Linked DNA regions of Arabidopsis thaliana. The protein of the gene in region 1 interacts with the protein of each later gene in a pairwise test. Each region holds a gene or a part of one and is shown on either strand. Other genes may lie near its edges.

The links.
Region 2: the proteins of GRF5 (region 1) and IAA34 interact in binary tests that used the Arabidopsis thaliana proteins (3 or more experiments, as listed by UniProt).
Region 3: the proteins of GRF5 (region 1) and ERF12 interact in binary tests that used the Arabidopsis thaliana proteins (3 or more experiments, as listed by UniProt).
Region 4: the proteins of GRF5 (region 1) and BIN2 interact in binary tests that used the Arabidopsis thaliana proteins (3 or more experiments, as listed by UniProt).

The regions. Positions count from the first base shown.
Region 1 is NC_003074.8:4,604,500-4,612,485, forward strand, and holds GRF5 (growth-regulating factor 5), read left to right. Parts: upstream 1-3,576; 5' UTR 3,577-4,026; coding exon 4,027-4,225; intron 4,226-4,504; coding exon 4,505-5,036; intron 5,037-5,114; coding exon 5,115-5,569; intron 5,570-5,653; coding exon 5,654-5,661; 3' UTR 5,662-5,998; downstream 5,999-7,986. Other genes in the region: AT3G13950 (ankyrin), read left to right, coding at 1-20, 444-696. UniProt on the Arabidopsis thaliana protein: Transcription activator that plays a role in the regulation of cell expansion in leaf and cotyledons tissues.
Region 2 is NC_003070.9:5,179,961-5,186,941, forward strand, and holds IAA34 (indole-3-acetic acid inducible 34), read right to left. Parts: upstream 3,454-6,981; 5' UTR 3,284-3,453; coding exon 3,197-3,283; intron 3,070-3,196; exon of another isoform or gene 3,048-3,069; coding exon 2,894-3,047; intron 2,786-2,893; coding exon 2,645-2,785; intron 2,545-2,644; coding exon 2,436-2,544; intron 2,363-2,435; coding exon 2,296-2,362; 3' UTR 2,031-2,295; downstream 1-2,030. Other genes in the region: GAT1_2.1 (Class I glutamine amidotransferase-like superfamily protein), read right to left, coding at 78-344, 435-1,355; AT1G15060 (alpha/beta hydrolase family protein), read right to left, coding at 4,093-4,152, 4,269-4,369, 4,631-4,801, 5,003-5,177, 5,281-5,381, 5,459-5,561, 5,649-6,323, 6,455-6,532 and 1 more. UniProt on the Arabidopsis thaliana protein: Aux/IAA proteins are short-lived transcriptional factors that function as repressors of early auxin response genes at low auxin concentrations.
Region 3 is NC_003070.9:9,950,111-9,956,651, reverse strand, and holds ERF12 (ERF domain protein 12), read right to left. Parts: upstream 4,891-6,541; 5' UTR 4,719-4,890; coding exon 4,149-4,718; 3' UTR 3,547-4,148; downstream 1-3,546. Other genes in the region: ERF11 (ERF domain protein 11), read left to right, coding at 1-301.
Region 4 is NC_003075.7:10,292,776-10,301,610, reverse strand, and holds BIN2 (Protein kinase superfamily protein), read right to left. Parts: upstream 5,474-8,835; 5' UTR 5,138-5,473; coding exon 5,123-5,137; intron 5,086-5,122; exon of another isoform or gene 4,534-5,085; coding exon 4,441-4,533; intron 4,350-4,440; coding exon 4,017-4,349; intron 3,925-4,016; coding exon 3,850-3,924; intron 3,757-3,849; coding exon 3,700-3,756; intron 3,606-3,699; coding exon 3,465-3,605; intron 3,375-3,464; coding exon 3,324-3,374; intron 3,244-3,323; coding exon 3,148-3,243; intron 3,062-3,147; coding exon 2,978-3,061; intron 2,896-2,977; coding exon 2,698-2,895; 3' UTR 2,222-2,697; downstream 1-2,221. Other genes in the region: AT4G18720 (Transcription factor IIS protein), read right to left, coding at 383-540, 1,024-1,666. UniProt on the Arabidopsis thaliana protein: Negative regulator in brassinosteroid signal transduction pathway important for plant growth. May be also involved in auxin signaling pathway. Phosphorylates and increases the degradation of BZR1 and BZR2/BES1 by the proteasome.

The DNA.
Region 1 (7,986 bases):
ATCAGCGGTATACGACTAAGGTACCAATAAATAAACTATATGTGCAACTCCATATAACAAGGCTACTTAGTATGTAAATTATTATAACTTGTTTGTATGTTAAGTCTGGAATTTTTATGTAACGCTTGTGTTTGACAAGATATTACTGAGAACTAAAAATAGTCATCTAAATTGAGATCTTGGTGTTGACTTTCGGTTTTAAGTATACCAACTATGTCGGCACAATGGTTGACTTAACATTAGCTATTTCAACAAAACTGGTCTGATTGGTAAAAATACTAATTCGATCGCTATTTGATTGGACTTTAAAACTATGGAAAGTTGATGACATATATCATAGTTATCTAATGGAATTTTGGTACACTCAGAATAAGTAGAGAAATTGTTTGGTATTAGAATAAACTAAAAGACACTTATATGATGATATAATTGTGTATATGAAGGAACCGGATGATAATGGCTATCCTCGGAACATTTATGGTGGTGGCGGTTCTTTGTATATCAGCGGCGTTCTTCTTCGCCATCGTGCTGGTTCAATCCGACGATCAAATAATTCGTTATATACTATTGATTTATGTGGGATTTTGGGTTGTATTTCCTGTTTTGATACTTTTAATCCAACTTGTTCGATTTATAGGTTGGCTTATTTGTTTCATGTGTTGTTGTTGTTGTCCACGTCGGCGACGGTTCCATTAGGGAGAGGTCCCATTAAGAAGAGAAGGAACCCGTGTTTCGAACCCACGTATGAATTTGGAACTTGATGTAGGAAAGTGATACTAGAATAAAAGTCTCCCAAGGACATTGTTATAACGTTTATTAATTCTATGGGTTATTTTTAAACTGTTTAATAAATGCATTTGATTATGTGAATCTTGGCAATTGTGTGGGTTGGTTTGTTGTAAAGTTAATTAATTGCGTGGGTTTGTACTGTTTAATAAATTCGTTTGATTAAAAATTGTATGTTCAAATAATGTGAATCGTGGCAATATCGCCTTGTGAATCGTGATTGGTGAACGATCGTGGTAATTTTTTTTTTTGCCAATAGTTATTCTTACCATGATCTTAGTCCAAATCGCTCGTATAACACAGTAATAAATAAATACAAAAAAAAAGAACAAAGAAAACAAACTAGAATGCGGTGCACACTAGAATGAAACATTACAAAAAACGATTGTGAGCATCTCGTTAATGGGAGAGATTAATATATCCGGAACAAAGCAATAAATATTTTCTCAAAAAAAAGAAGATATAATCATCTCAAAAAAAAAACAAGATAATTCTTTTGACGTAGAATATATAGTAAATAAAAAAACGTGGAATATAGCAATGTTTCATATATATATTCGTAAATCGTTGATTTTTATGTGATTGGATGGATGATGAAGCAAAAGTATTATATTCCCTTATATAAAACGAAGAATATCGTAAAGAACCCTCGAGGCCTAAAAGATGGTTAGGGTATAGACTATAGGCTATAGTATTAACATGTCAATTGTAAATGTCATGAAACTGAAAAAAGAAATAGGGAAAAGTGAGTCAAAGGGAGAAAAGGAGGTAGGTCTCTTGCCCTATAATATCTGCATTTACCCACCCATCATCTCCTATAATATAACCCATTTATAACTCTCCATTTTCTTCTTTTTTTGGTAAAAGTTTGAATTAACTCTTCATTTTCATTTTAATTAATTCGCTAAAAACATAATAAAAACAAGAAGAGAATAGATGATGATGATACAGATGAGTGACTAAAATGGAAATTTATGCACTAAAATGGAAATATCCCTTGGTCCAAAGGTCTTTCCACCTTCTTCTTCATAGCTTAATCACCATGATTATGATCATATATATCTTTGACCAACCAACAAGAGTGGAGCTCTAACTAATATGTGTAGGTACCATCTTACATATCTCCATATACGCATGCATATCATTTTCGAACCAATTTAGAAGGTGATGTATATAATCAAAAGTATTTAGGATGATGGTTTATCGCGTGAACACCATTTTGTTTAAGTACGTGGTCATCGCAAGGTAACCATCTTTATTTTCTTGGGTTGATCTTCACTAGCTATATATTAACCAATTACATATGTATTATTTTGTACTGAAGAAAGGATATAATTTGTAATCGCCAAATGATTGAATTAGTATTTGCTAATTACAAAAATTTGTAGAAATCGCGATAATTATCAACTTTTTTACTATATCCCATCATTCTACTATTACGCAATGTTATCAATTGTACTAGTTTGTTTCATCCACTATGTAAAATCATTCAAACCCTAAAGTCGATGCTCATCAGCTCATGTATATGTATGTATCATGTATATGTACATAAGATATAAAACCTTTATAGATGTGCATGTAAAAGAATGGTAGATAGTAGTAGTAGGTGTGTAAGGAGAAAGATCTAGGGGGCTTCAAAAAAAGGAGAGAAAAGGACAGAGCATGTGAAAAGAGACAGAGAAACAAACAGAGGAGTGAACAGTCTTACTCTTTTTTTTTTCTATGCACTTAATGAACCCAACCCTCTCTGTATATTTCTGATTCTTCACATGTCTTCCTCTTCTTTTTTATTCCGAAAACTTTTCTTCAGTAAAAACCAATGCCGAAAAAAATACATAATAAAAACGACAAAATATCTAACATTTTTTATATAAAAAGGACAAAAGTACTTTCACTTCACTTGCAACCAAACAAACCTAGTCCCCTTCTTTATCCAATGGTCTCTCCCCTGCTCTCTATTTCTCATCTAAACACCCTTTTCTTTCTTTCTTATTTACCATTTTGCCAACTTATGTAAAAGATGTTAAGAAGAAAATGTGAAAATTTAGTAAAAATCTCTCTTTTGTATTGTCGTCAGAAACTGTAAAATAATCTTACTCTTTTTCAAGTCAGCATATAAGTTTGGTTTCTTCTCCCGAGTCAGAGATTCGTGCAGTGATGATACAAGAAGCTTATTCCGAATTCTTTTCATAAATACTCGTATTTCCTTCTTCTTTTTTTTTTTCTTTTTTTTAACATCTATCTGTTCTTCTTGCATCTATCTGATTTTCCTCTGTCTTTTAGACAGTAATAACAGAGCTCACTAAATGTAATAAATAAAAAAATGAGCTCAATAAAAAGGTAAATGGCACTCATTTTTAGGCCATCAAGTGTTGGGATACAGCTGAAATTAAAAAGGCGTCAGCTCAAAGGAAAAAATAAATAAAAAAGATTCCCAAAAATCAATGCACTTTTATAGAAAAAAATACACATAATTTCAAAAAATACTTAAATTTTGAAAAATAAGATGAAGAAAGGATTGAGAAGAGAGGAAAGAGTAGTCAGAGAGACAGGAGCATCAAGTGCTGCAGAAGAAGCAACAGGAACACTGGGCCTGAGTCTCTTCAGATTTGCCAGTCTTTATAGGACCACACTCTTCTTCTTCATCCCCCTTACATACATTTTATCTATTTTTACATTTTACAATATTGGATATTTTAATGTTGTTTTGATTTTACACTACATGGCAAAACTCCTTAAAAGCTCTTGTCCTGATGTGATTCTTTTTTCTTTTCAACACTGTCTAAATATCTCTCTCTTCTTTGTGATCACTCTTTGATTTATTAACTTTCTGATTACCATTCCCCCCAAAATAAACCCTACTAGAGTGTGACTAATTGTATAGTAATCTCTATTGTGTAATAATCTTTTATCTTTCCTCAATACAAAAAAGTAGGGTATATATATAAAAGAGGGAGTGGCCTCGTGTAGAGAAAGAACCTAGCTAGTGTTCATGCAATTTGCATCTGAGGAATATATGCTTAGAAAGAGAGAGAGAGAGAGAGAGAGAGAGAGAGAGAGAGAGAGAGATATCAAACCAGAGGAAAAGAGTGACAGAGAAAGTGGTCATCTTTGTCTGTCTCTGTCCGAAACTCAGGAGCCCTAATCTCTGAATCCATCAAGAAAGCTCTTTCTCTTCCTTCTTTTATGCTTCTGAATTTGCTACATATATAAACTATCTGAAGAAAGCTAGAGAATAAGATGATGAGTCTAAGTGGAAGTAGCGGGAGAACAATAGGAAGGCCTCCATTTACACCAACACAATGGGAAGAACTGGAACATCAAGCCCTAATCTACAAGTACATGGTCTCTGGTGTTCCTGTCCCACCTGAGCTCATCTTCTCCATTAGAAGAAGCTTGGACACTTCCTTGGTCTCTAGACTCCTTCCTCACCAATCCCGTAAGCCCTATACCTATACTTAATTTTCTTTCTTTCATGTTTTCTTTTCTTGCATAAAGTTTCAATCTTTTGTTGATTCTCATGCCCCCAAAGTTTTCAGCTTTATGTGTTTTAGAGTGATTTGGTTTCTGGTTAAAGTCTCTAGCTTTTTTTTTCAACGACCACTTTTAAAAACTCAGTTTCCACAGTCTTACTTTTAATGATTTTGGAACTTAAGGTCCTAATTAGGGTTTTACATCATGATTAATTTTAGGGTTTCGTTTTAATTAAATGATGCAGTTGGATGGGGGTGTTACCAGATGGGATTTGGGAGAAAACCAGATCCAGAGCCAGGAAGATGCAGAAGAACAGATGGTAAGAAATGGAGATGCTCAAGAGAAGCTTACCCAGATTCGAAGTACTGTGAAAAACACATGCACAGAGGAAGAAACCGTGCCAGAAAATCTCTTGATCAGAATCAGACAACAACAACTCCTTTAACATCACCATCTCTCTCATTCACCAACAACAACAACCCAAGTCCCACCTTGTCTTCTTCTTCTTCCTCTAATTCCTCTTCTACTACTTATTCTGCTTCTTCTTCTTCAATGGATGCCTACAGTAACAGTAATAGGTTTGGGCTTGGTGGAAGTAGTAGTAACACTAGAGGTTATTTCAACAGCCATTCTCTTGATTATCCTTATCCTTCTACTTCACCCAAACAACAACAACAAACTCTTCATCATGCTTCCGCTTTGTCACTTCATCAAAATACTAATTCTACTTCTCAGTTCAATGTCTTAGCCTCTGCTACTGACCACAAAGACTTCAGGTTCTGTGATCTTATCTTTAGTTTCTCTTGTTGATCTTTTATGGAAACTTTTATTGATGGATTGTTTTTTGAATTCAGGTACTTTCAAGGGATTGGGGAGAGAGTTGGAGGAGTTGGGGAGAGAACGTTCTTTCCAGAAGCATCTAGAAGCTTTCAAGATTCTCCATACCATCATCACCAACAACCGTTAGCAACAGTGATGAATGATCCGTACCACCACTGTAGTACTGATCATAATAAGATTGATCATCATCACACATACTCATCCTCATCATCATCTCAACATCTTCATCATGATCATGATCATAGACAGCAACAGTGTTTTGTTTTGGGCGCCGACATGTTCAACAAACCTACAAGAAGTGTCCTTGCAAACTCATCAAGACAAGATCAAAATCAAGAAGAAGATGAGAAAGATTCATCAGAGTCGTCCAAGAAGTCTCTACATCACTTCTTTGGTGAGGACTGGGCACAGAACAAGAACAGTTCAGATTCTTGGCTTGACCTTTCTTCCCACTCAAGACTCGACACTGGTAATTAATTAATCTGCAGACGTAATCTTATGATCTATGCTAATTATTGATAGTTTCAAAATTAGTTTAAATTTATTTTCTCAGGTAGCTAATTAAGTAGAGCTGGCATCAATGATGGATCTGCACCAACACACACAACTGTGAAATGTTGAAGAAGAGTCACATTTCACATCTATTTCCGTGGAACAATGAGACAAGACACTGTTTGCAGAATCCTATATGTATTTTTTCTATCTTTTTCTATGTGTGTTAGGTCCAACAAGAAAAAGTGATCCGACAGATATATCTGTATGTGTTCTCTTGCTTTCTCAAGAAATCAGATTTTATTTTACTGTCGCTGATAGCAACAAAAGAAAACATGACTTGATTTGTGAGGGGTATCGTTATATATAATTTATTTGTTTCTTAGGATGCAAGCATCTATATAGTTTCACACATATAATCTAGATTTTTTCTAAGGCCATGTTCTGATTAACTTACTTTAAATGTAAAACATTCATGCAGAGGAATAATAGTAGACTAGGTTGCAAATTCTGTAGGGCAAAGGATACGATTATCCGCAATTAGTTAAAGTTTTATATGTAAACACAGACACAAATAATCAATTACTATCTAAATGGCTGTATGTTGAGATTATCCGCAGGTTATGAAATGACGTTACATAGGCCCAAGTCTTGAATCACGCATTTACGAAACGAGAGTATGGTCAAAACTCTACATAATATGGCAAAACATTAAACTTATTATTATAAGAAGAAGAACCATAAATTTTGTTGTCGTTTATAGAAAACAAACAATCATATACAACTTTTGGTGTATGCTTCCTTCCATGTATGTGCTCCTTTAGCAAAAGGAAAGATGGGAGAGTTAAAAGACAAAACGTCATGACTCTTGATCCATTAATCCTTTTACGTGCGTATGAGTACTTGGAATCATTGGTCATTACCAACATTAATCTTATATTTTTAATATAAATCTCATACGTATAAAATATGTATGCTGAGAATTTTTAAAAGCATGTTGCCACCGAAGATTCTGTGAACGGAATAAGGTCCAGATTAAAACCAGCTCATCTTTGGTCATACCAAACAAAAACGCGTCCTAAACACTTTCATAGTAGGGAACAACAAAATCAATATTATCATTCTTCAACCATGTCAAACTATCCTAACCAGACCGGTTTCCATTAACCGAATCAGGTCAAGGAACTTTCAGACCACCGGAAATTTCAAAAACTCTGATTAATCGGTGTCATCCTTGGCTCTCAAATACGCCCTACCACCAGTTCTAAACTAAACCAGAGGCCAGTTTTCACTTTGCAACATTAACACTAAAGATTCCGACATTTTCTGACTACAAGAGCTATCAAACATGAAAGATTCGATACTTTCTGATTCCAAGAGCTATCAGACACGAAAGAATGACATTTTCTGATTCCAACAGCTAGTCTAAGCAGTTCCTATCTGAAAAATGTCTCAAGCGTCAAAATCAAACCAAAGAGAACTGACAAAGAATCTATTGTCTACGAAAAGCATAACATGAAAAAAGAAACTTGATCTTCCTACCACCTTACTGTGCCTTGAACCTCACTCCTAATAACAACATTACACAAGCAAACCGAAATATCGGAAAACACAAATAAACAGAGGATTTGTGTACAACCATGAATCATTAAGAGAGGTAGAGAACGTAACACACATTTGCGAACTCACAAAATGAAATTAGATATCGGTTTCATCATCTCACAGAATCCCTAAAACAATTTTACATGACTTGAGCCATTCTTTTTTTTTTACTTTCCCCCAACTCTCTCGGTTCCCTCTCTCTAGTTAGCATCGTTAGGCATGTAAATGAAAAACTACACTCCCTTAAAAGAACAAAAAAATTCAGAATACAAAGAAGAAGAAAAAGAAGGAAAGTGTCAAATCCAGAATGTACCCATTTACAGAGGAAAAAGGCTGATGAAGACTTTGAGGAAACATCATTGCAGCAATCAATCTTTCTTAGATCCTCGTCTCAAAAGTGTGTGTTTCCCGGTTTGATGAAAATTCAATAAAATGTGTCTTCCAAATTCAATAAGTATGTGTCATCCTTAGAAGCTGCTTTCTTTTGAAAACCAAGAAGGCAACAACGCATATCTGCAACATTGCTGCAAACCCAGCGAATACAAGACCCACTGTTTTCCCTGTGTTTAATCCACTTTTCTCTGACTGTTTGAAGACCCGAGAAGGAGGAGGAGGAGGTGGAGGAGATGGGGGACGTAACCGCCGTGGTGGTGGTTGGTTTCTATGGGATTCTCTGTTATTAGAATGCGGAGGAGAAGCTTGAGCACGCGGAGGAGGAGGGGGTTTTGAAATCGGTGGCGGAGGTGGAGAAGGAGTAGGTGGAGGAGGAGGCGGCGGAGGTGATGGTAATGG
Region 2 (6,981 bases), on another chromosome or scaffold:
TTTTCATTTGGTAGCTTCTGTAAATTCACAGAATGCTAGTTTTCTTATTGTGTGTAAAACTGTTTTTGCAATAAAGGCTAATAGTTGAGAAAAAAGGAGGACTCTATGGTCCTATCTGTGTGTTCGGGTTCTAGTAGTTTTCTCTTGATGGCATTGGAGCAAAGACGAGCCATCATATGGTGGAAGGAAAGCATATCAGACAGCCGCTCCGCCGAAAGTTTGTCCATTGCTCTCTCTTGTTCCTCTTTCATTTTCATCCTTTTCATATACACACATGAGTTCCTCACCGTCGCTCCCATCTGCTTCAGCCTATTCTCTTGTTGCTTGCTTAGAACTGTATTAGCCTGCATGATTCATTCAGCCATGTCAGAAAATCCAATATTGAGTGGCAAAACATAGAGCCTGTATGTATGTAAAACAAACGAATCTCTGACCTCTAGAAACTCAGCTTGGGAGAAGCTTTTGACGAGTGTGGTGGTCTTCCTCTTCATCTCAACCTGTGTTGCGTTTACTTGTTTCTTCTGAAATGCGATCACAGCTTTCACAAACTCCTGATAAACTAAAGCGCAGCCTGGATAATCAAACTCATCAGAGCCTGGAAGCCTCATCCTCTCTGGATGAAACTGCAGACCCATCAAGAACTGACCTTCCTTTGGATCATATCGATTCGGATCATAAAATCCTTCAATCAAACCATCAGGAGCATAAGCCATCGGCACAAAACGTTGAGCCAGTCTCTTCACACCTTGATGGTGATACGAGTTCACCATTATCTCCATCTCCTCGAACAACTTATGTAACGGAGTCTCCTCCACGATTCTAGCCTCGTGTCTGTGCCCATCGTAGTTGTCATAATCTATATGATTTGTCGTTGTCATCGTAGTTCCGAGTTCTTTGTCGATGTCTTGGTAAAGAGTTCCACCTGCGGCAACGTTGAGAATCTGAGAGCCACGACAAATGCCTAAGAAAGGAATGTTTCTTTCGAGACAGAGTCTAGCTAGAGTCAGCTCAATGCTGTCTTTCTCTCGGTCGATGGTCATGTCCTCTGCATGCGCCTTCTTAATCTCCTCCATGTCTTCTGGCGAGAGGTCTGATAATTCATCGTCCGCGTAGAGAGAAGGATCGACATCTTCTCCTTCGCAGAGGAGGACACCATGAATAGGCTCGAAGCTCTGGAGCATAGAATGGATCCCATTGACACGTGGGACAATGACAGGGACGGCACCGGAGGAGACGATGAGATCGAGATGGTATTCTCCTACGAAGTCCACGTACTTGTTCTTGCGGAGAGTCCGACGAGAGACGATGAGAACTCTGGGGAGAATCTTGGACGAGAGATCATTGGCGACAACCATTTTTATGTAATAAATAAATCTCTTCTTCTTGTTTTGTCTTGTTTATGTCTTAATCCTCTCTTTCTTAATTGGATGGTTATGTCTTAGTTCTCGTTCTTTATTTATAGATTGGAATGGAGGCGTCGAGGCGCAGCGTCCACTCAAAGCTGACGCACACTTTTTATTATCTGTATACGTTTTTGGTCAAACCTTTCCTATTGCCTATTGGATGCTGAGATGGACTTCTCTGGATATTCCAAATTATTCCTTCTTTTGATTTGGTTATGTTAAACAAAAAAACGTTTTCTTAGTAATAAATGGATATGGATCAGATTAGGTTCTTAGGAGGATTAGATATGAATGGATGACTCATTGACTTGTAACAATATTAAGCATGCAGAGCATATACTGTATATGTCTTTATTTTATACTATATAAATGCATGTCTTTCTGTATTTGGAGGGTGTTGAATTAATTATGGAAATCACGTCATCCTAATCAGCCACCGGTTCAGTCACTCTTACGTGTAAAAGATAACGTCGTAGACTTTCAACAACTCCGTATGAATGAAAATGTAAGAAAAAAGATCGAGGTTGTCGCCGGAGTTGAGCTCTCTTGTCTTCACAAGGCCTTCGATATCCTACTCATTTTTCGTTTATGCGGATTATGAATTGAAAAGTATGAAAGATAAAATGGCAAATTCACCATCGTAATTACACCACTATATCTTAAAACTGGATGGTTCACAATATCTTCGTATCATGGTAAGACGAGAATCCAGACGTAACATATCGGAGCTCTAGTGATCAGGATTTCACCGAAAAAAGTAGTTCGTGGTTCTTTCTTTATTTCGAATATAATCGTATTCAAAGTTACATTTACCTTTTCTCTTTTGTTTCATTTCCGATTCAAGGCTGACTTGGAAATTATAACAAAGAGTGAAGAAAGAGAGAAGCTAATATTAAAAGGGAAGTACAGCATCGTTTCTTCTTGTGATTCTCAGCCGCTCCACGCTTTCTATGAACTCACTGTCATTTACAAATCACAACACATGTAAACGCTTTATTTCAGTAATCTACAAAGAAAGTATCAAGAGCTTACTTCCATGGAACATCCCCAGCATTTCTCCACAGACCTTCTTCGTCTCTGTAGACCAAACAGAACTCAGACTCCATCTGGAACAACCTCAATCCCGACACACTCTGCATCCCTACAGATTGTAATGAACATCCGGTATAAGCCTACTAGGAACATTACTACTTATAGTACTTACTCATCTTTGAATCCCAAGCTTCCCATGAAAAACTTACCAAACATGTCCTCGAGTTGATGAGCAAGAGTTGAATAGCTTCCATGATCAAGAACACAGACCTTGCGACCTACCACCAAACCATCCATGGTGACCTTTACATAACCCCACTTCCGTCTGTATCCTTCATTACTACAATATCCTTTGCCACATGTCATAACTCATAAGTAAACACCGTCTCAGAGTTGAAAAAATTTACCAAGAAATTAAAGGTAATGGAAATACTAATGGAAACGGCAAAGAAACTCACTTTGGCCAGATGAGTGGTAAATCTCATGTTGTATGGTTCTCAGGCTGAGACCTAAATCGATTACGCCACCAAACTCCGTGGTCTGCGAGTAATATGGATGATACTTGGGAGAATTTGGGAAAACACCGAGTGGGTCTGAGTCCATTGTTGGTTTCTATAACAAATACATATTCAGCACATAACAGATACATAGAAAGGTGAGAATGATGTTGATTTATATCAAGCAGCTAAGGCTAAGAGTGTCAGGAGAGTTAAGAGACATCATTGCAGACAGGGAACAAACAAAAGACAAGAACACATTACCTTCCAGGAAAGGATCAGTTTGTGGTCTTTTTGTTGTTTGTCTGATGCCACTAAGTGCAAGGGATGGGGAGGATCGCTGCAATACATCTGGTCAGCCAACACAAAAACCTGAAATTATCGTGAAGTCAGAATTGTACTATACTAATCACAGCAAGCACATCTCTATCTAGTGAAGTGTCTCAATGTTATCAGAGAGTGTTGACAACTCATTGTCTCAAGTCAAAACCTGTAATCACTCAACATCAAACACGTTACAAAAGAAATAGGTAAGTCGTGCTAGAGAATTCTGTACCATAGAGAATCCAACGAATTAATTTATGGACAAAGAAAGAGAAGAACTAGGTATGGTCTTACATGATGGTGGAGAGACAATATCTTTCATGAAAGAGAGCTCTGTTGTTTAATACTAGACAATTCAGATCTATCATTACATCATGTATCCCACACATTATCTGAGAAGTAGGGCTGTGTCATTAATGGATCTAAGACAGAAAATGTACACATAAATCCATGTCTATACAATTGCTCTCATGGATAACTCAAGTCCTCCAAAAGAAGCAAAGCAGTACAAGAGAACACACCAGTTCTTCTAAAGATAAATGTTCAAATAAAAAGCTCGTTGCCATAACAAAACAAGGGAAATCATCACAGTAGACAAGAGCTTCCAGCATCTCATTCGATGCTTTTCCTAATTTACAGGTGTATGACTTGAAAAAACTGCATCCTAAGCTCATGTACAGTTTGCCCAGATACTAAATGTACGTGTCTTAAACGGAAATGGCATCCTTTTTAACAGGCGCTTCTGAAACACACTTCTTCGACACCACCTTAGTGCGACGTCTACAATCTACATGTGCTATAGCATGCAAGGAACAGAAACTCCCGAAATGTTTCACTTATGCGGAATCATGGTGGCTAAGAAATTCAGTTATGCAAGGATAGACTTGCTCCACTGCCTGCAGTAAGTTGTCAGAGAAACGATTAACAAACGAAACAAGCATGCACATGATACAGCATTGAACAAAGTTCCAACATAGGAGGAGACCTAGAAATGACTGGGGAACAAACATACCAGTCGTCCTCCAACCAAATCATAGTGTGCATAATGTGGTCCATCTGGTTCTCCAAGTAACTTATAAGTGACCAAGTTCTCCGGAAACAGCTTAACAGTGTCTGCCATATTCACAAGCATTTGTAATTAGTCATAATGGTGAAAATGCATGTGTGAGTAGCTTAAAAATTTATTTGGTGTGTGTGGAAAGTATCACAAAAGTTAATCCATCTACGCCTTATACAGCCTCTCATAACTCGAAAGAATTCAGTAACAGCAATGTAGAATTTAAAATGAAATGCATATCTGGGTAAATGAATGGTTTCATGTATATGCTAGAGTCATCTATGCAGAATTTCATAATAAACATTATGTTAGTATACCTTCCACAGCCGCAGGGGGGCAGATCAAGTCCCGATCACCTGCAAGAGCTAAGACAGGGACACTGGTTCTGGGAAGATGATCCTTATAGTAAAATTTACCACTACGATCACGTAAGCCTCCCTCTCGAAAGGCCGTTGTCAGCTGAATAAGTAGTTTTGCAGGTATGGTACCTAGATGTAAGAAAACAAAGAAACTCTTGAAAATCACCATAAAGGGAGCAATTACGGATTGCAAAAAAAGTCATGGTACATTCAAGCATCTAATAGTAACTGTTCCAGCATTTTCTTTTTCTTAATGAAGATACGTTTCTTTTCCACTTAAAATACATTAAGAACTCACATACTTAAATGGGATCAACTGTTTTTACTTACAGAAGTTATTCAAGACAAGCTTTTCTAACATTTCAGGGTGCATCATATCTGTTGATGATATCAAATCATTAAGCCAAGATAATACATATGGAGGACGTGTCGAAAGAGGAAAAGCGGCAGCCAACAAAGCACCCAGAGGAACAACTGGAACACTCAGAGCTTCTGCAGGATTGGCCTGTAAAAGAAGTATCTAGTAAATTAGCTACCAAAGATATTTATGGCACATCAATTCTTGTCAAAGATTCCTGCGCAGAGTGATATAACATAACGACACGTACAAGAGGTATGAGCAATTTGAGTGCAGAATTTGAGGTTGTGTAATCAACCGATGATGCCAGAGTTGCCACAGCTGCCACGGAAGGTTCTCGTCCTTCAAAAGCTAACAAAATAATAGAGAAGAAATGAATTTCGGCCTTAATATATGAGCCTCTGTTTGAAAGATGAATACTAACTTACCACAACGTGATAGCATTGCATAGAGTAGGATACCCCCCATGGAGTGCCCAATTGCGAATAGTTTGCCGTCCTTGGGCTTGCTTTGTGCTCTTACATACTCAATCTATAGCAAACCAAAGACGGACACCCAATTCAAACAAAATTCAGACACGATTATGCGAAGTATTCAGCAAGATCAACATTGCCTCACCGCAGCAGGGACATCCTCTTCCAGGTAGTGATCAAAATCCCAGTCATATTTAACTATCAAATCCAGTTGCTTCTGAAAATCTTCTATGGTCGCAGTGAGGCGCTCTTGTAAATCAATCAGCGGAGGCGAGACAGACCTTTGACCATCGTCGAAAAGATTCACAAGGCGCTGAGCCAAATCTCTGACTTGGTTAACAAGTCCTGAGTTTTGCTTTGACTCTATCAAACTCAAAAGCTTCGATCTTATATCATTAAAGCGCTCGTACAGCTGTGTATCATCTACAAGCATTGCAATTTTGTCAAACAACTTAGCAGACATGAACACAGACTGACCTTCACTGAGAAAGCCAGAAAGTCTTTCTGACAAACTCATGAAAGTTGATGTCAATCTCGCCACAAGCTGTGACTCGTCCCAAGCCGATGCTTCGCCAACAACTGAAACATCCGACGCTGGTGCAGGTGCACTACTGTCCATAATATCAGTAGTCTGCTTTTCATCAGAACAAGTTTCTTTACCTGCAGCAGCTCTAGCAGTAGATTCTATCTGATTCGACAATTCATGAGCAGATTCCTCAACGTCCTTAAGATCAGATACTCGTGTACTCAATCCAGCTCCACGAACCTCGAGAATCCAAGTCTCAAATCCCTGTCCAGACATATGCCTTGCAAAAGAGCACTGCAATGACATCAACGAAGATTTACTTGACATTGATCAACAATAAATCTACTTCCTCATCTAAAGATACACTAGTACAATGTAGATCTTGATGATAAAGATTGACATTAAAAACGATGAAGGTAACATACACCAGGAGATAAATCATATCCGATGGCATTAGTTCCTACTCCAGACAACAGTAACAATGGATGATTCCTCGTCGGAGCCTAAGAGAAGAGAGAAAATTCTTGATCACAAAAAAAAATATATAATCCAAATTGCAGATACAGAGAAAGGTGATTGTTGAAATTCGAAAACCTGAGGAGGAGGCAAGTAGCGCCAGAGAGCGAGACGCCAATCGGTGTTAGGAACGGAGACGTAATGAAGCTCGTCGGCGGTGCAAAGAGAAGGTTTCGTGGGGAGCTTAACAGAGGAAGAAGAGAAAGCTCTCGGTCGTAACAACGTCGTTCGGTGACGAAACGAAGGAGTAGTAGTGACGGTGCTGATGGAACGGTGGAGATAGACGGTGGAGGAAGCCCGGCGAAGAGCTGAGCGGATCTCCAAGGGAAATTGTGGAGGCATGGTGGACATGGTACGGACTCTGGCAGATTTGGAAAAAAACAATGGTGGCTCGGTTTCACTCCGGCGTGTTTTTAAGGATCTTCATTCATTTTCC
Region 3 (6,541 bases), on another chromosome or scaffold:
TGGAGCTAAAGCCAAAACCAACTTCCCTTGTTACAACATCAACGCCCACTGCTTGAGTTTGACACAGAGCCTGAGCCAGAGCAGCACCGTGGAATCATCGTTTCCTAATCTCAACCTCGGATCTGACTCTGTTAGTTCGAGATTCCCTTTTCCTAAGATTCAGGTTAAGGCTGGGATGATGGTGTTCGATGAAAGGAGTGAATCGGATTCTTCGTCGGTGGTGATGGATGTCGTTAGATATGAAGGACGACGTGTGGTTTTGGACTTGGATCTTAATTTCCCTCCTCCACCTGAGAACTGATTAAGATTTAATTATGATTATTAGATATAATTAAATGTTTCTGAATTGAGTATTATTTGATCATCATCTAAGTAGAAGCTTTAAGTTTAAGTGGTGCCAATAATTTTTTTTTTTTTTTTTGGTCATCAGCAGATAGTTTTAAAGAATTTTTTAGTGTTGAGATCGTGTTTCGTTCAGATCTGCTGATGTTCTTTTAAATATCATTAATGATAATCCTGATCAACTAAAATGATACTTTGTTTTGGTATTAATCTCTCTGATGAACATATAAGGTTGTTGATCTTATGTTTTTTACCTATATCCAATTGGATTTGAGGAAATAGTAGGATTCTTAATTATTTTTTTAATAAACAAATATAATGGAGATAATACTTTATTCAGGATAATGAGATTATTGGTCAAATATAAAATTTGCTGTTTTGAACAAAAGCAATAATAAGTTATCTTGCTCGAATCAAGGAACACAAGCTAGGACAAGAAGCTCTAACTTTTCTTTGTAAAATTGTTAAACATAACGGCATTAGTTGTAAGAACGCTAATTTTTTTTTTTTTTTTAATTTATATATATATATATATTTTTAATAAATTATAGATAAGCAATCTATAATTTATATTATATTCAAAAACTAAAATAATAAGTTATCGTTTTGTTGTATTGTTTCTTGTTGTTATGGAAAGTGGCATTCGTAGATATCTTATGTTAATCGTTGTTTTAAGAAAAATATAGATTGTTTATCTAAATTGTATTTGGGTGTAGTCTATACCGTGTATAACACACTATTTTTTTTTTTCGTTAAAACTCAATTTACCTGAATTTTTTTTTTTTTTTAATTAAGATGAAATTTTGTATATCGATAACTTATATGATCATTTCTTATTTAATTTTCATTTTTGCCAATATGGAAAATGAATTGTACGGTTTTCATTCTTAGATTATAATATTTGTTATCTTTTCTATATATGAATGTACGATTTTTTATATGCGAATGTATTTTAACTTATCATTGACCAAAAGTCTATTATAGAAAAATAAAACATAGATATTGTGTCTTTTAATATATCTAAATAAAGAGAAAGTCATTTATACATGTATAGTTACTTATTTCTCCTAACCCATAATTTTTCTTTTGGACAAACTCCTAACCGATAGTTTATACACGTTTTGGTAGGAACTATAAATAGGTCGAGTCGTCGAGAGGTTAGCCATCTTTCAGATACTAATCTTTGGATTTCCTCTTTATTCTATATCAGTTTGGGGAATGGAAACTTGTTGGGGAAAGCCTGACATTAGATAGAGGCGGTAGTCTCATTGCTAAAAACATAACGTCTGATTATCGGCTGCAATCCTATATGGATACTGGCCATTTCTTATGGTTAAATGTTATGTTCTGCAATGAGAGAGTTTTGTCCTCTATGTGAGTATCAATTTTTTTGGCTTGAGAGATTCATAGGGAGCCTTATTTTTTGTACTGGCCAGAGAAAGCTTGTATGGTCGATTTGTATGGGTGAAGTTAAGAGTAGTGTAGCATCTAACTGTCTTTTGTATAAGTCGGATCAATAATGGCAAAATGTTAGATGAATACAGTAGTCCATGAGTATAGGTTTGCTCGATATATATCTCATTTCCATATACATACTTTACCTACAATATCTGTATCAACGTTAACAAAACTGAACTTGGACCTCGATTGCTAAACAGCCCATCAATTCTTTTGGCCCAAATATTAATGTTTATTGCTCCCCCCCCAAAAAAAAAGATTACTGTCAATTGTCAACAATGTCCATTGCCTTTCAATTATCTTATATAATATAACTAGATTTCAATTAGCTTATATAATTTTTTTGACAGAAATAATCTTGATTTTCTTAGCCTATCAGTTCTATATCAAATCTCAGAAATCCTTCATTTTGAATTTGTTGATTCTCGGAGATGAAGAAATCAAATGGGATACATAAAACTAACGATTAGTTCCTCTTGAATTTTTTTGAGCTAAAGGAATAATTTTTGAAGAGATTAGCCTTATTACCTAAATTCATGGGTTAAATAGGCACACAATATACTCACATAGAGCAAAAAGTTAAAAACTCAGAAATTGTAAACCAGAAACCAATAATTTCCAAAACCGCGGATAGTTTGTTGGGACTTATTTTGGACACATATCTTCGAACCATTTCATACACACAAAAGGCATTATTGATTATAAACCTCAAAAATTGATGGTCGGCCACTGCCGCCACACTTTCAAGAAAAATAGCACTAAATTGTTATAAGACTTTTTTGTTTGTTTTGTCAAATAATTATATAAACCTTAGGTATAAGGTTTATGAAAACGACAAGAGACACGCAAGGAAGGACTAAAATAAACAGTTAAGCCCATATAAAAAAAAAGTAATGTAGCAACCCAAAGTTTTGAATTGATTTTTCACTAACACAAGCGATATCATGCGGCGGCGCGTGGGGTCTCTTTGGCCAATTTGGTAAATTCAGTTGCACCGCAGAAACACATGCAGAGGTTCGTCGTCATAGCGAACATATGTTTAAATTCAGATTATACAACTGGTTTATTAGGCCTAAAACATAAATTTTTTGTTAGGTTCTAAATATTTCTTAAATTATAAAATTTGTCGCTAAACTCTTTTTGTCTTTCTCTTGCTAAAAGCTACATGAGGTCGATTACAAATCGCTTATGAAATACGATAAAAAGAAGTTGCAACGAAACTGTTAGAATTTGATCTTTTATGAAAGCAATATGCATAATGCATGATCTTTGTTTAGTCAATACATATGTCTAAGTGTCTAACACATGTAACAGTTCTATGACTGTTTTATAGTCTCATAAAACTACACGATTCCGGTTCTACATATAAAACATAAACATAAAATCTTCACAATCTGCATGAAAGTTTTGATTTCGCTACGTGAGATCTCCTTTAGTTAATTAATTTGACTTCTTATGATATTTGATTATATCAAACATGTTTGTTTCATTTACTACTGAAATTTGCGTTATTTTAAGACTTCTGTAGATAAATTTGTTATGTGAATTTGATATTTATCTATATAGGACCGTCAAAAATTTTATTTATTTTATATTTTTAGATGCTTCTATATATATATGTATACACGCATAACATATATAAGATTGGTAAACATGAGCAGAAAAATTATAGGACAATTAAACTTCCTCTAATTTTATCAGAAAACTTTTGTTCGAATTCATATGAAAATTTTCAAAATAAATAAAAAAATACAATTTATTTACAAACTCAAGACTCATAATACACATATCTTGTCCGTAAGTGAATAAGCCAGTCCAAACTCACACGCTTGCTCAGCATTTACGTCTCTCATTAGTCTCTATCTCTTTTGTTTGTTTCCTTCTTTTCTCAGTCCGTCTTTTGTCGTGATTTAAGAGAGAGGCGCGTGAGTCAAACAGGACACTAGCAAAGCAAACAGCTGCACAAGTCAGTCCGTACTTCACGACACGCCATAGAATACGATAAGATTTTTAAAACCCCCTCGAAACCGACATAAGCGACGGTCGTAACACGATCCACAAACATAATTAGATCCACGTTCAGACGTTGTTAAGTTTTTGTGTTGCTAATTAAGAAGTTTCTTGTTTTTTCCGCAACATATGGATCTCACAACAACAATCGATCTCCGACTCTTACATAACGAACAAAAGAAGGATTAAATTATAAAAACAAGTCTACTAACTCTAACAAAAAGATACTATTTGCTAAAAAAAGAAACTAAAGTAGTTCCACCGAAAGTGGTCTCAAACGGCGCCGTATAGAAAAGTAGGCAAAACGGCGCCGCTATATCCATCTTTATCGTTTGTTTTCAAAGCCAAAGCGGCGGAGGCTCGTTGAGGTCAATGGCTAAGCCACGTCTCACCGTAACAGGGGAAGGAGAAGAATTCATCATCGGAAACCCAACCACTTGATAACCAGGCGATGACGTGGCTGTGTTAGGCGAGGAGGTGAAGTAAAGCGGCGCTTCTGTAGAAGAGTAATCTGAAGTTTTGTCGTTTAGCACACCGGTTCGGAGAAAAATGCGGTGGTGTTGGTGATGATGGTCGGAGCTTGGAGGAACAGGAGGAGGCGCAGCGAACCAGAGCTGTTGGTGTTGGTGGGGTTGGTTATTTGCGGCGGCGGTTGCGGCTGAGGGAGCGGAAGGGAGGTGGTTGAGGTCGAGAGAGAGAGGAGAAGGGAAGTTAGTTTTGGCTTTGATACCACGGAGGAAACGAGCAGCGCCGTCGTAAGCAAGAGCAGCTTCTTCGGGAGTGTCGAAAGTGCCTAACCAAACCCTAGTTTTCTTCCAAGGATCTCGTATCTCAGCAGCGTAGCGACCCCAAGGTCTCTTTCTGACTCCTCTGTAATGCACCTCTCTTGCACACGTCGTTGACGCCATTGTTAGACTCTCAAGAGGGGAAATATGAGAGAATCTAGAGAGAAAGTGGAGAAGAGAAGAAAGAGGTTTTGCTTTGTTGGCTCGTTTGACCCAAATGAGAGAGAGAGTGAGTGAGTTTAAAGAGCAAGAGGTGTGTTTGTAGGGCCGCTTGAGAACACCCGTAATCCTCGGCTTCTTTTGACGATTATCTATCTTTATTTGTTGCCTATACGTAATATATATGGCAAGTTAATAGTAAAAACAAAACTGAATAGTGTTTGATTTCTAGGATCGAGGTTTTCTCTGGGGTTTGCAAGAATCAAGCACCGTTCGATCTTTTGCTGTTGGGTGATGTGACGGTGGTATGCTGAGAGATTGTTACACGTGGGTGTTCTACACCAAAATAATGTTGTTTTAATAAGTTGATGTATTTGAAAAAATACAATAGGATTTCTCATAAAGTGAATACTTCTAGTGGTGAGTGGACTTATTCTAGGACATGAAAGAAAACAATGCTAATCATTCCTTTGAGTGCTAATACTGTTTTCTTATCTACCATTTACAACTTCTGTTATATAAAAAAGATTTGTTAGGTAATGGTTAGAAATAAAATATTTTAGTTCTACTCTCCAAACAACCTCATTACCGTTGTAACTTATGGTAAATTAACTCATTACTTGCTAGTGACGATAATGCCATACTATGAAATTTATGCTATTATAAAAAGAAGATAGAAAGATCATTTTTGCATAGGCTCTCCAAACATTTTTTCATAATTCAAGTACTTTGTTTTCGATCGTAACAATCTCGATGCTTTTTCTCACAGCAACCATTGATACAAAATGATCAAAGAAAAAAGAACTAAAAATAAATAATCTTGTACATTTACGAAGAGGAAAGAAAAATGGGCCGCCTCTTTGACTGAACCTGTGGCATAGGGATGCTGACGTAATCCCTAGTACTGATAATAGCCATCTCTCTCTATCTTTTGTATCTTTCACTCTATTATTTGACAAGTATTTAAATGCTCTCTTTTGGGGTTTTATTGGCACCCATATATATTTATGATGCACGAGGACAAGGCTACAAGGAGATCATTAAATAAAGTTACTTGACACAACTACTCTATCTTTAGCTCTGACTGATTTTGTTTTTCTTTTTGTCCAAAATTCATTAGCCCATCTTATGCAAACTTACTATACTCTCTAGTCTATACTAATAGAGTAGATTACATAGGCTCTTTCTTTTCCCTCTAAAAAGTGACGTAGTTTAAGTCTTTATATTGTGTAAAATATATAGTAATCATAGGAGTCAAAAATTTATAGCAATTGAAGTGGCTTATAATTTTCAGTAATAGACAATGAATTAAAACAAATTAGTTAGAGGTTTTTTGTTTTTGTTTTATCAACTGAAGTTTTATTAGATTAATTTGTCTTTTAACTTCTCTATTTCTTGACATTTTGTAAGATGTTTTTGTTTGGTTTTAGGGTTATTTAAAAATAAATAAAAAAATCTGTGTTTCCTTTCACGTGACAAGGCTTAGGGTCTGTCGTTTTGATTGAACAAATGCATTGGTCCATATCTAACAAAATTTATACACGTGCGAACTCTGATGTCTGACTTCTCTCTCTCTGACATATCTAATTATTTAAATTAACCCTACCTATAAGCACAGTAAAAAAAAGAGAGATACCCCAAAGCTATATAAGCTACTACAGTACTAATAATCATTTTCAAGAAATATTTTGGAGAAAAATGTGAATGTGGCTTTCGTGTTCACGTGAGCCTGTGATACATAAGAGCTTTATGACGTGTCTTTGTAGTAGCAGCTAGGACAAAAGGAG
Region 4 (8,835 bases), on another chromosome or scaffold:
AACAAGAAAAGATGAGATTGTTTTCACCAAACTTGAAAAGAGAAGAGAAATAAGCAGATACAACTTGAGAGTTTTTGTTTTTGCAGATTTGGGGAAGTTGGTTTGCTTGCAGCTGGCTTTGACCATCAAACTTGTTCGAGGAGGAAAAACTTCGAAGTGTGTCCTCCACTTTTTCCTTCAACTATGACCTTGTGGCTCGTGTAATGGTACATTACATTTAAAGAGTTATTGTCTTTGTGCAGATTCTTTATGTTCCAGATTGAATCAAGAAACTTAGACCTAATTGTGTTTTGATATGGTCTGGATCAACTTGTTGACTAGTTCAGGTGATGCTCCAGCTACTTCTTGTTTGAAGTTGAAGAGAGGTGGGAAAGGCCTTCCATTAAGTAAATGAGCGTTTGGTTCTCTCAAGAATGTATGTAAAAAGAGAAAAGACACGAACCTTGTGCCACAGATGTGCCTTTATCTGCGGAAACCTGAAATCTGTGTAATGCGTGGATTCATACAACGGATTTCTTCTCGAATTGGTGTACCAAGAACCTATGTACAACAACTTCATACAATGAGGATTTTGTAGCCAAAGAATGTAATTTGCAAGGAACCATTGTACAGCATTTTCTCCGGGAATTAATGGCTGCATAAGAACAATGAGTCCTAATGCGAATAGAAGACAAACATTCAAAAGAAAAAACCAAAGACCCCTTAAACTGCATAAACTGCAGAGCTCCCTCTTATGAAACGAAACACTTTGACTAGATTCTTTAAACGCAGATTTAGAAACACCATTCAATGAAGCAACTTGAAAACGATCATCGTATTGAAATTACAATCTACTAATATCTCGAGTTTGTGATAGAAAATTGACACGAATACTGATTCTATACAATAATGAAACTCATGACTAAATCTCTGCAGCTAACTAAATGATGATCATATCTGCTGATGAAAGCATCTTCACGCGACTCTCTTCCTTAAATCTTGCTCTCTCTTTAATCCTTTGAACCTCCTTCTGAATCTTCTCACTCCCCATCTCTTCCTTCTCCATCTTCACTAATCTCTCCCCACTAATCTCACCAAGTAACACTTTCCTCCTCAAATCTGGATTGTTACTATCTCCCATGTTGAACAGAATAGACCGGTACTTTGCTTTTTGAGGTCCCATGAAACAACCTAAGTTCTCAAACATTGCAGTTTCCACAGATACAGCCACAACCCAAGGATCACAAGCAGTCACTCGTGTCTTCATCTCCGTGTCAACAACCTCAGAAGCGACTTTAGCCAAAGATGTTTGTAGAATCTCACGCACTTTGTCTCGCTTTGAATCTCCAGTCTTCTTCATCGTTGCGTGCGTCGGGATCTTCACCGCAGCTTCTCTATTATCACGGCTCTTTTCTCTACCTGAAGCGTAAAAAAACTTCATCCAAAGATCCCGAAGAATCCTTCCTTCCGATCGAATTTTAGGGTTTTTGTGATCGATGAAGAATTCCAAACCCTGCCCCATGGAGGTTTTGCAGACCACGTCACAAACAAGTGACTTGGGTGCTTCCTTCAAACGATTCATGGCATCGACAAACCTCGATACCTCTGGAGAATTCTCATCACCTTTCACAGACTTAGCCGCTCTAAGTGCTGCCTCGAACAACTCCATGAACTCACGCTTCTGCATCCTTCTCTGTTTGATCGGTCTTTTGTGTACGTACGTGTTTGATCTCTCGATAATAACTAGGGTTTCAAAAGCAACGAAGGAGAAGAGAAATTAGTAAATTGTTGCGTATGGTCTCTCGATCTATCTGATGTTGTTTATATAAAGACTAAGAGTCCAAGACCAGATAGGTTTTGTTAGTTTCGGATACTTTAATTGCTTGCTATCAAAGCCTTTCCCAAATATATTTTTTTTCTAAAAGGAGATGAATTTAACCTGATATAGGTCCCGCCTTTAGAAAATGTATGGTCTTTTAACTTGAACTAACAGATATTTAAAAAAAAAAAAGAAAAAAAAAGTCATGTAATTTTCTTTTTGTTTTAAAAATCCAATAAGTAATTCAATATCTGAAATTCTGAATTAAGAATTATATATTTGTAAATTTTCATTATTTAAAAATTTCTTCGAATCTTAAAACATATAAATACATAAATCAAATTTCCATGAGAGATAAAAAAAATTCACTTATTTATTTATAGGGTATTTATATGAGTAGCGAGATATTATTTTTGTAATGATTCGTGCAATTAAATTGAGTGAAAATTTAATACAAATATACTTATGCTTAAAGCAAAACCATGTATCCATTCATGAAGTGTTTGAAAAAAAAAAAAAGTGTTTGAAAGAAGCTCCTCGTTGAAAGAGTATCACTTTGATTACATTCTTCACCTTCTGCCCAAACTTTACTATATAAAAAAACTTCTGACTAAACTCATTTACATAAGGGGGAAAGAAAGAAGAAATGAAGCAAAGAGGAGACTGTGTTTTTCACCAAACTTGAAAAGAGAAGAGAAATAAGCAGATACAACACTGGAGAGTTTTTGTTTTCGCAGATTTGGGGGAGTTGGTTTTGCTAGCAGCTGGCTTTGTCTGAACGAGTTTGAGGAGGAAAAACTTTGAATTGTGTCCTCCACGTTTGCCTTCAACTACGACCTTGTGGCTCGTGTAATGGTACATTATATATAAAAAAGTAGTTGTCTTTTGCAGGATCCCTTTTAAGTTCCAGATTGATTCAAGAAGCTTAGACCCAATTGTCTCTTGATATGGTCTGGAATCAACTTGTTGACCAGTTCAGGTGATGATCCAGCTACTTCTTGTTTGAAGTTGAAGAGAGGCGGGAAAGGCCGTCCATTTGGTAAACGAGCGTTTGGTTCTCTGAGTTCATCAAAGAACGGATGTGCACAAGCTTCGAGCTGAAATACGAGGAAACAAAATATATAGTAAGGATTCAGTTGGATTCTTAGAGACTGAAGAAACCTCAAGACCAATGCTTACCGCTGTGCATCTTAGACTTGGAGAGTATTGAAGCAGCCTTGATGCAAAATCAATCGCTTCTGGGGGCATCCTTTTGTGGAAGATCTAAACCAAAACGTAATTATGATCAGTTGATGTGTGAAGAAAGAAACTGAAACAAGAACACATGCAAAAAGAGAAAAGACACTAACCTTGTGCCAGGGATGTGCCTTTATCTGTGGAAACCTGAAATCTGTGTAATGTGGATTCATACAACGGATTTCTTCTCGAGTTGGTGTACCAAGAACCTGTGTACAACAACTATACAGTGAGGATTTTGTAGCCAAAGAATGTAATTTGCAAGGAATCATCGTTTAAAGATTCTTACTTTTATAATTTCAACGAGCTGATCCACAGCATTTTCTCCGGGAAATAATGGCTGCATAAGAACATGATATAGTCACAATGAGTCCTAATGCAAATATACACATGGAGATTGAATAAGCTGGTTACTGAAAGAATTGTTTACCTGACCAAGAAGAAGCTCAGCAAGAACACAACCAGCAGACCAGATATCAATAGAAGTTGTGTACTCAGTGGCACCAAATATGAGCTCGGGTGCACGGTAGAATCGTGAGCAGATGTAAGAAATGTTGGCTTCACCTTTAACCTGAAGCAAAAGTAAATTTCAACAGTAAATGACAAGATCACAGAAAACAACAACCGCTACAAGTCGAATGAGTTTATATGTCACAAAGTCTTACGAGCTGTTTCGCACTGCCAAAGTCACAGATTTTGACTTGATGAGTAAGAGGATCAACCTATAGAAAGAGACCAGAAGAGATACATTAAGAACGAAAGAAACAAAGGCAAGAAAAAAAACAAAGAGTTCAATCTTAAAATGTTACACATACCAGAAGATTTTGAGGCTTTAGATCTCTGTGACAAACTCCAGCAACATTGTGAATGTAAGCAAGTCCCCGGAAGATCTAACATAACAAAAGGAAGTAATATCAGCCTAAGAACAATCTTATGTACATCAACTTTGGAAATGGAAGATATGAATGTGTGTTGTTATTACCTGATACATGTAAAGTTTAACATAGACAAGAGGCATTCTTTGGTTTGCACTACTATAATGTTTCAGAACTCGATACAAGCTCTCAGGGACATACTCCATAACCAAGTTCAAGAAAAGCTCGTCTTTACTTGTAGTCGAAAAGAAGCAATGCTTCAAACAAACCACATTCGGATGATCCATCACACGCATCAACTGAAGTTCTCGGTTCTTGTATCTTCTATCTTGCAAAACCTTCTTTATCGCCACGGTTTCTCCAGTCTCCAAACATTTTGCTTGGAAAACGATCCCGAACGAGCCTGTACCAACAACTCGCTCCGCCATGTAACTAATTGTCTAACAACAACATAGAAAAATGTATTGGTAACCATCAAAATCTTGCATATACATAAAAGTGAGTCTATTTGGTTAAAAGCCTTAAAAATACCTGTTTTGGTTCACCATTTTTGCCACCGATTGTGGTGGAAATAATATGACCAGTGACTTGATCATGTCCATCAACTACAGCAGCAGGCATCTCCTGAAAGAGAAAAGCTTTAATATCAGCACAAAACCATTATCAAAAGCTAAAAGAATAATGCTTGTCTGAGAATCAAAAGTCTAAAGAAGGAAACTTTTATCCTAAAAGAGTGGTTACAAAATAACCGTTACGCAGAGTGAATCTGATTTAGTTAAAACTAAAAATATATACTTTTGTCACGCCAAAAGAATGGTAAACAAAACAAATACATATAACAAACCAAACAAGGACTAATCTATGTTCAATTATGGATCTAGCAGCTTGTATAAACTCTGGATTAATCACAGATCGAGATATATAGACATGGATCATCCCAACAGAGCTAACTTAGAAAATTCTAAGCTCAGAACTCAAAACCCTCAGAGATCTCAGGGTAAGTCAAAAAGTTAACGAAAGCTCAAAACTTTGGACAAACCCAGAACTCAAAACCGTTCAACTTCAAGAGTACTAACTAAACTAGATTTATTATCACAAAACATCTGTAAGAACAGGAATCTCAAGACAACTAATTGAAGGGTCAAATGTGGAAAAACCAAAAAACAGGATCTTCTTCTTCAAAAGACAGCAAAAGGAACACAAGCAGCTTTACCTTATCATCAGCCATGGCGATAGAGACACAGAGAGGAGAAGAGAAAAGAAAGAGAGAGAGTGGATTTGAGAGAGAGAGAACAAATGAGTTTCAATCAGTTTGGTTGGTAATGATCATTGTGGCGATAGAGAGAGAAAGGGAAGCCGCAAGATGAGAAAAGAAGGAGAGAGAAAGAACAAGACCATGTGAATCCAGCTCTTCTCTTTCTCTTTCTTTATCTATCTACTACTTTCCGTTTTCTTCGCCATCTTCTTTCGTGTTTTTTATTTGTTAAGCTACAATTACGTAAACACCCTTGAAATTGCTGGTTAATTACGCAGACACGGACTCTTTGTGGAAATTTCGTGATCAAAGGGAAGGCATCATGTACTTGTCGGTCAAATTTGAATCATGTATTCGTTTGGTTTAAGGTCTAAATTGACATTTCATGTAATCTCATAAAATGTTAGAATGCTAGAATTGTCAATGTCTCAAATTTTCACTATCATAAAGTTTATAAGAGGACTGAATATTTATCATATTCGTTGTATTTAGTTAATAAAATGAATGTAATATCACTCATTATTGTAAAAAAAATCAAAGATTAGTCAATACAAGTTAGTTTTACATTATTATAATTTGTTCACAAGTTCGACTTCAAGCAATCTCGTTATCTAGCGTTGTAAAATTTTAGTAATGGATACTTGATCAAAATATTATCATTCCAATTTCATATAAGAAATTACTTGCAATAATTTTTTTTCCAGCGGTGACTTATATATATATTCCAAATTTTGGGTCTATTTTTTTTCTTAACACAAATTTTGGGTCTATTTTTTTTCTTAACACAAATTTTGGGTTTAATAATTATATCTAAGGTATGTGTATAAATAGAAAAGATAGGGCATGATGAAATTGGAACAATATTGTCAAAGATCCAAGTTTGACCATTTGGTGGGAAAACTTCTTTTTTGACATTGATGAAAGAAAAAAGCATTTATGTTTCTTTGGGTCTTAACTTTTTAATGTTTTTATTTTATAATTAAAATTTTAGACTTAAAAATGAGCTTTAATTATTACCTAATAGTGTAGCTTTACTTATTGTGTTTGTTTTTTTCTTTATATTTGTTTATTTATTTTTCTGGAAACATCAATATTAAAATCAATGATGATAATGATAGCAGTCCTAGCATTTGCAGAAGACAACAAAAATAATATTAATATAATTTCTTTTTGTTCAATTATGCATGGGACATACATACTTTTGGCTGTATGGACGGATTTACATTGCATATTTGTGAATTATCTTCAGGCTCAATTATTTAAATGTCGATATGCGTATTATCCAATCGTATATACAATAGCAACTAGATTATAAATGTTCATATACATTCGGTTTTAGCTGAAGATGTTAAATTGTCAATGTAGTAACTAGTAATTAAGTTGTTATTTTTCTCACAAAAAACAAAGTTTAAGTTGTTATGAGTGTTTTTGGTTCTATAGAAATTAGAAATGATATTAAGATTGTCCCCAAAAAAAAATGATATTAAGTTATTGTATATCTTTCTTGTTTCATTGTACGGATTAAACAAATCCCACGATTCTTGTTATATACAATAGTGTAATACTATTGGAGTGTAGGAAAATGAATCGAACCAAAAGCGGTCTCACTCAAGAAGCTTTTAGCCCTTTTTATTTTGGTAGATAATACATGTTTGTAAATAACTACATTAGATAAAAGATTATATAAATATATTTCTGTAAGGGATCTTGAATAACTCTTGAGGTATGGGAAATCACAATAACGTGCACCATGTGACTGAGGTTCGAACCAAGGCAGAGAATGAAGAACTAATTATTCATAACAGTCATTGACGATATATTTAATTTAAAAGATTGATAACATGAAAATGAGAGGCAAAGTTAAGTATAAAGACGAGAATAATGATTGGGTTTGTACGAAACGGAAGAGAAAATCCTATAACAAAAATTCTTTTTCCTAACTAACAGCCAACCGTCGGCAAAAAGAAATGAAAAAATTTGCAGGTAACCTCTTCATAAATCATAACTTCTCGAAGCATATTCTTGCCATTTCTTCAAGCATTCCAGCTAAACTATTGTCTACCTCCGTTAGTTTTTTTTTTTGTTTTTTTGATATATGATTCATCAGTTGATCCAGTTAGTTTTACTAAAAAGTTATTGAAGTATTATAGAATTGATTTTCTTTCCAGAGGCCTGAACGATAACCTCATTGTATAACCGAGTTTCAAATGTTTTTCGACTAATGTCAAGAAATCGGTAAATTGCATGTCTAAGTTAATTTTGCTATTGAACTTGTTTCTATATGATTATTATTGTAACTTTAACCTCAGATTATCTTTGGTAAAAACAATATACATTACTTTTAATATATATTTTTTTTTTTATCAAATTCTTTAATCTTATTATCATTAAAAATTATATAAGCAAAGATTAATTTGTAAAGCAGACTAATTTTCAAACACACAGAAAGTCAGTTTTCTTACGTTAAAGACGTCCATAATAGTTGAAAACCGGTGTCAAAACATTAATTTAAGATACATTACAACTTACAAATGTCATAACGTCTATGGTATACAAATACAACATATAATATAATTTTGAACATATATACGCAATAGTTATGGACAATCCCTACAATTTGAACCTATATTTGATAACGTAATATATACAAACGTATTTAATCACATTTGAATTCAGACTAATCTAACATTGCGAAAGTATGAATATAGTTTACAAATTCAAGTAATTTGCATTTACTTCCTACCATTTTATTTAGTTTTAAAGTCTTTAGACCATACTACGAGTACTAGAAAACTATATATTTGAAAATGAAGAGATTGAATAAATATTTGTGAGGAAATGAAGATAGAAATATTGACGGATGGGTTGGCAGTCGGTGGGAGAAGGTGGGCTAGTCAAAGCTGCAAACTTATTTAGTCAAACTTCTTATATAACTCATCATCTCTTTTAGCCTCTCTGTCTTTATTATTTTTCTATATTTTGTTAATATTTTTGTGGATGGTTCATGCTGTTTTGGAACGTACAGTCCTTAGAGTGCACTTCACCGTTATGATGTTCACACTTTTCAGGCTTCGATTGGAACTTTTAGCCCACCATAACCAAAGCTTATAAACTAGTGGAGAGAATGGGCTTTTATAGTATAAGGCTCATAGATTTATACAATCTTCTCTGTACGTTACAAGTCTACAAAGAGGAGTTAGGACTTAGGCGAGTTTGTTAGTTAGATTCTGGCACTTTGTTTAACCATATAAATGTTTTTAAAACCCTATACGGCTATATTTAATTCTATCTAAAGTGGTGAAATATCCCTCTTTTTGACAAAATCTAAGATAAATGATTCTTTAGTTCGTTTTCCTCGGTTTCTTTTTTTGTTAGTTAATTCACTTCAGCTGACAACTAGAGTTTAATAAAACTTTGGACATGAAATAATATCAATATTTTGTGTTCTTATTCAAAGGCCCATTTATAGTTGCAAAAGAAACATATAGGCCCATATATATATCTCTTTTGAAAAATGTTCAAACGCAACATATCGGACGTGCATAGGTTTCTAACATGAGAAATCCGGATTCGTGGCGGAGGAAAACAGAAACGATCGAACAAACGTCGGCAACTTCTCAGTTTATTTACAGGACTGCTAAGTTCACATATTAAACTAAAATAACCAGGAA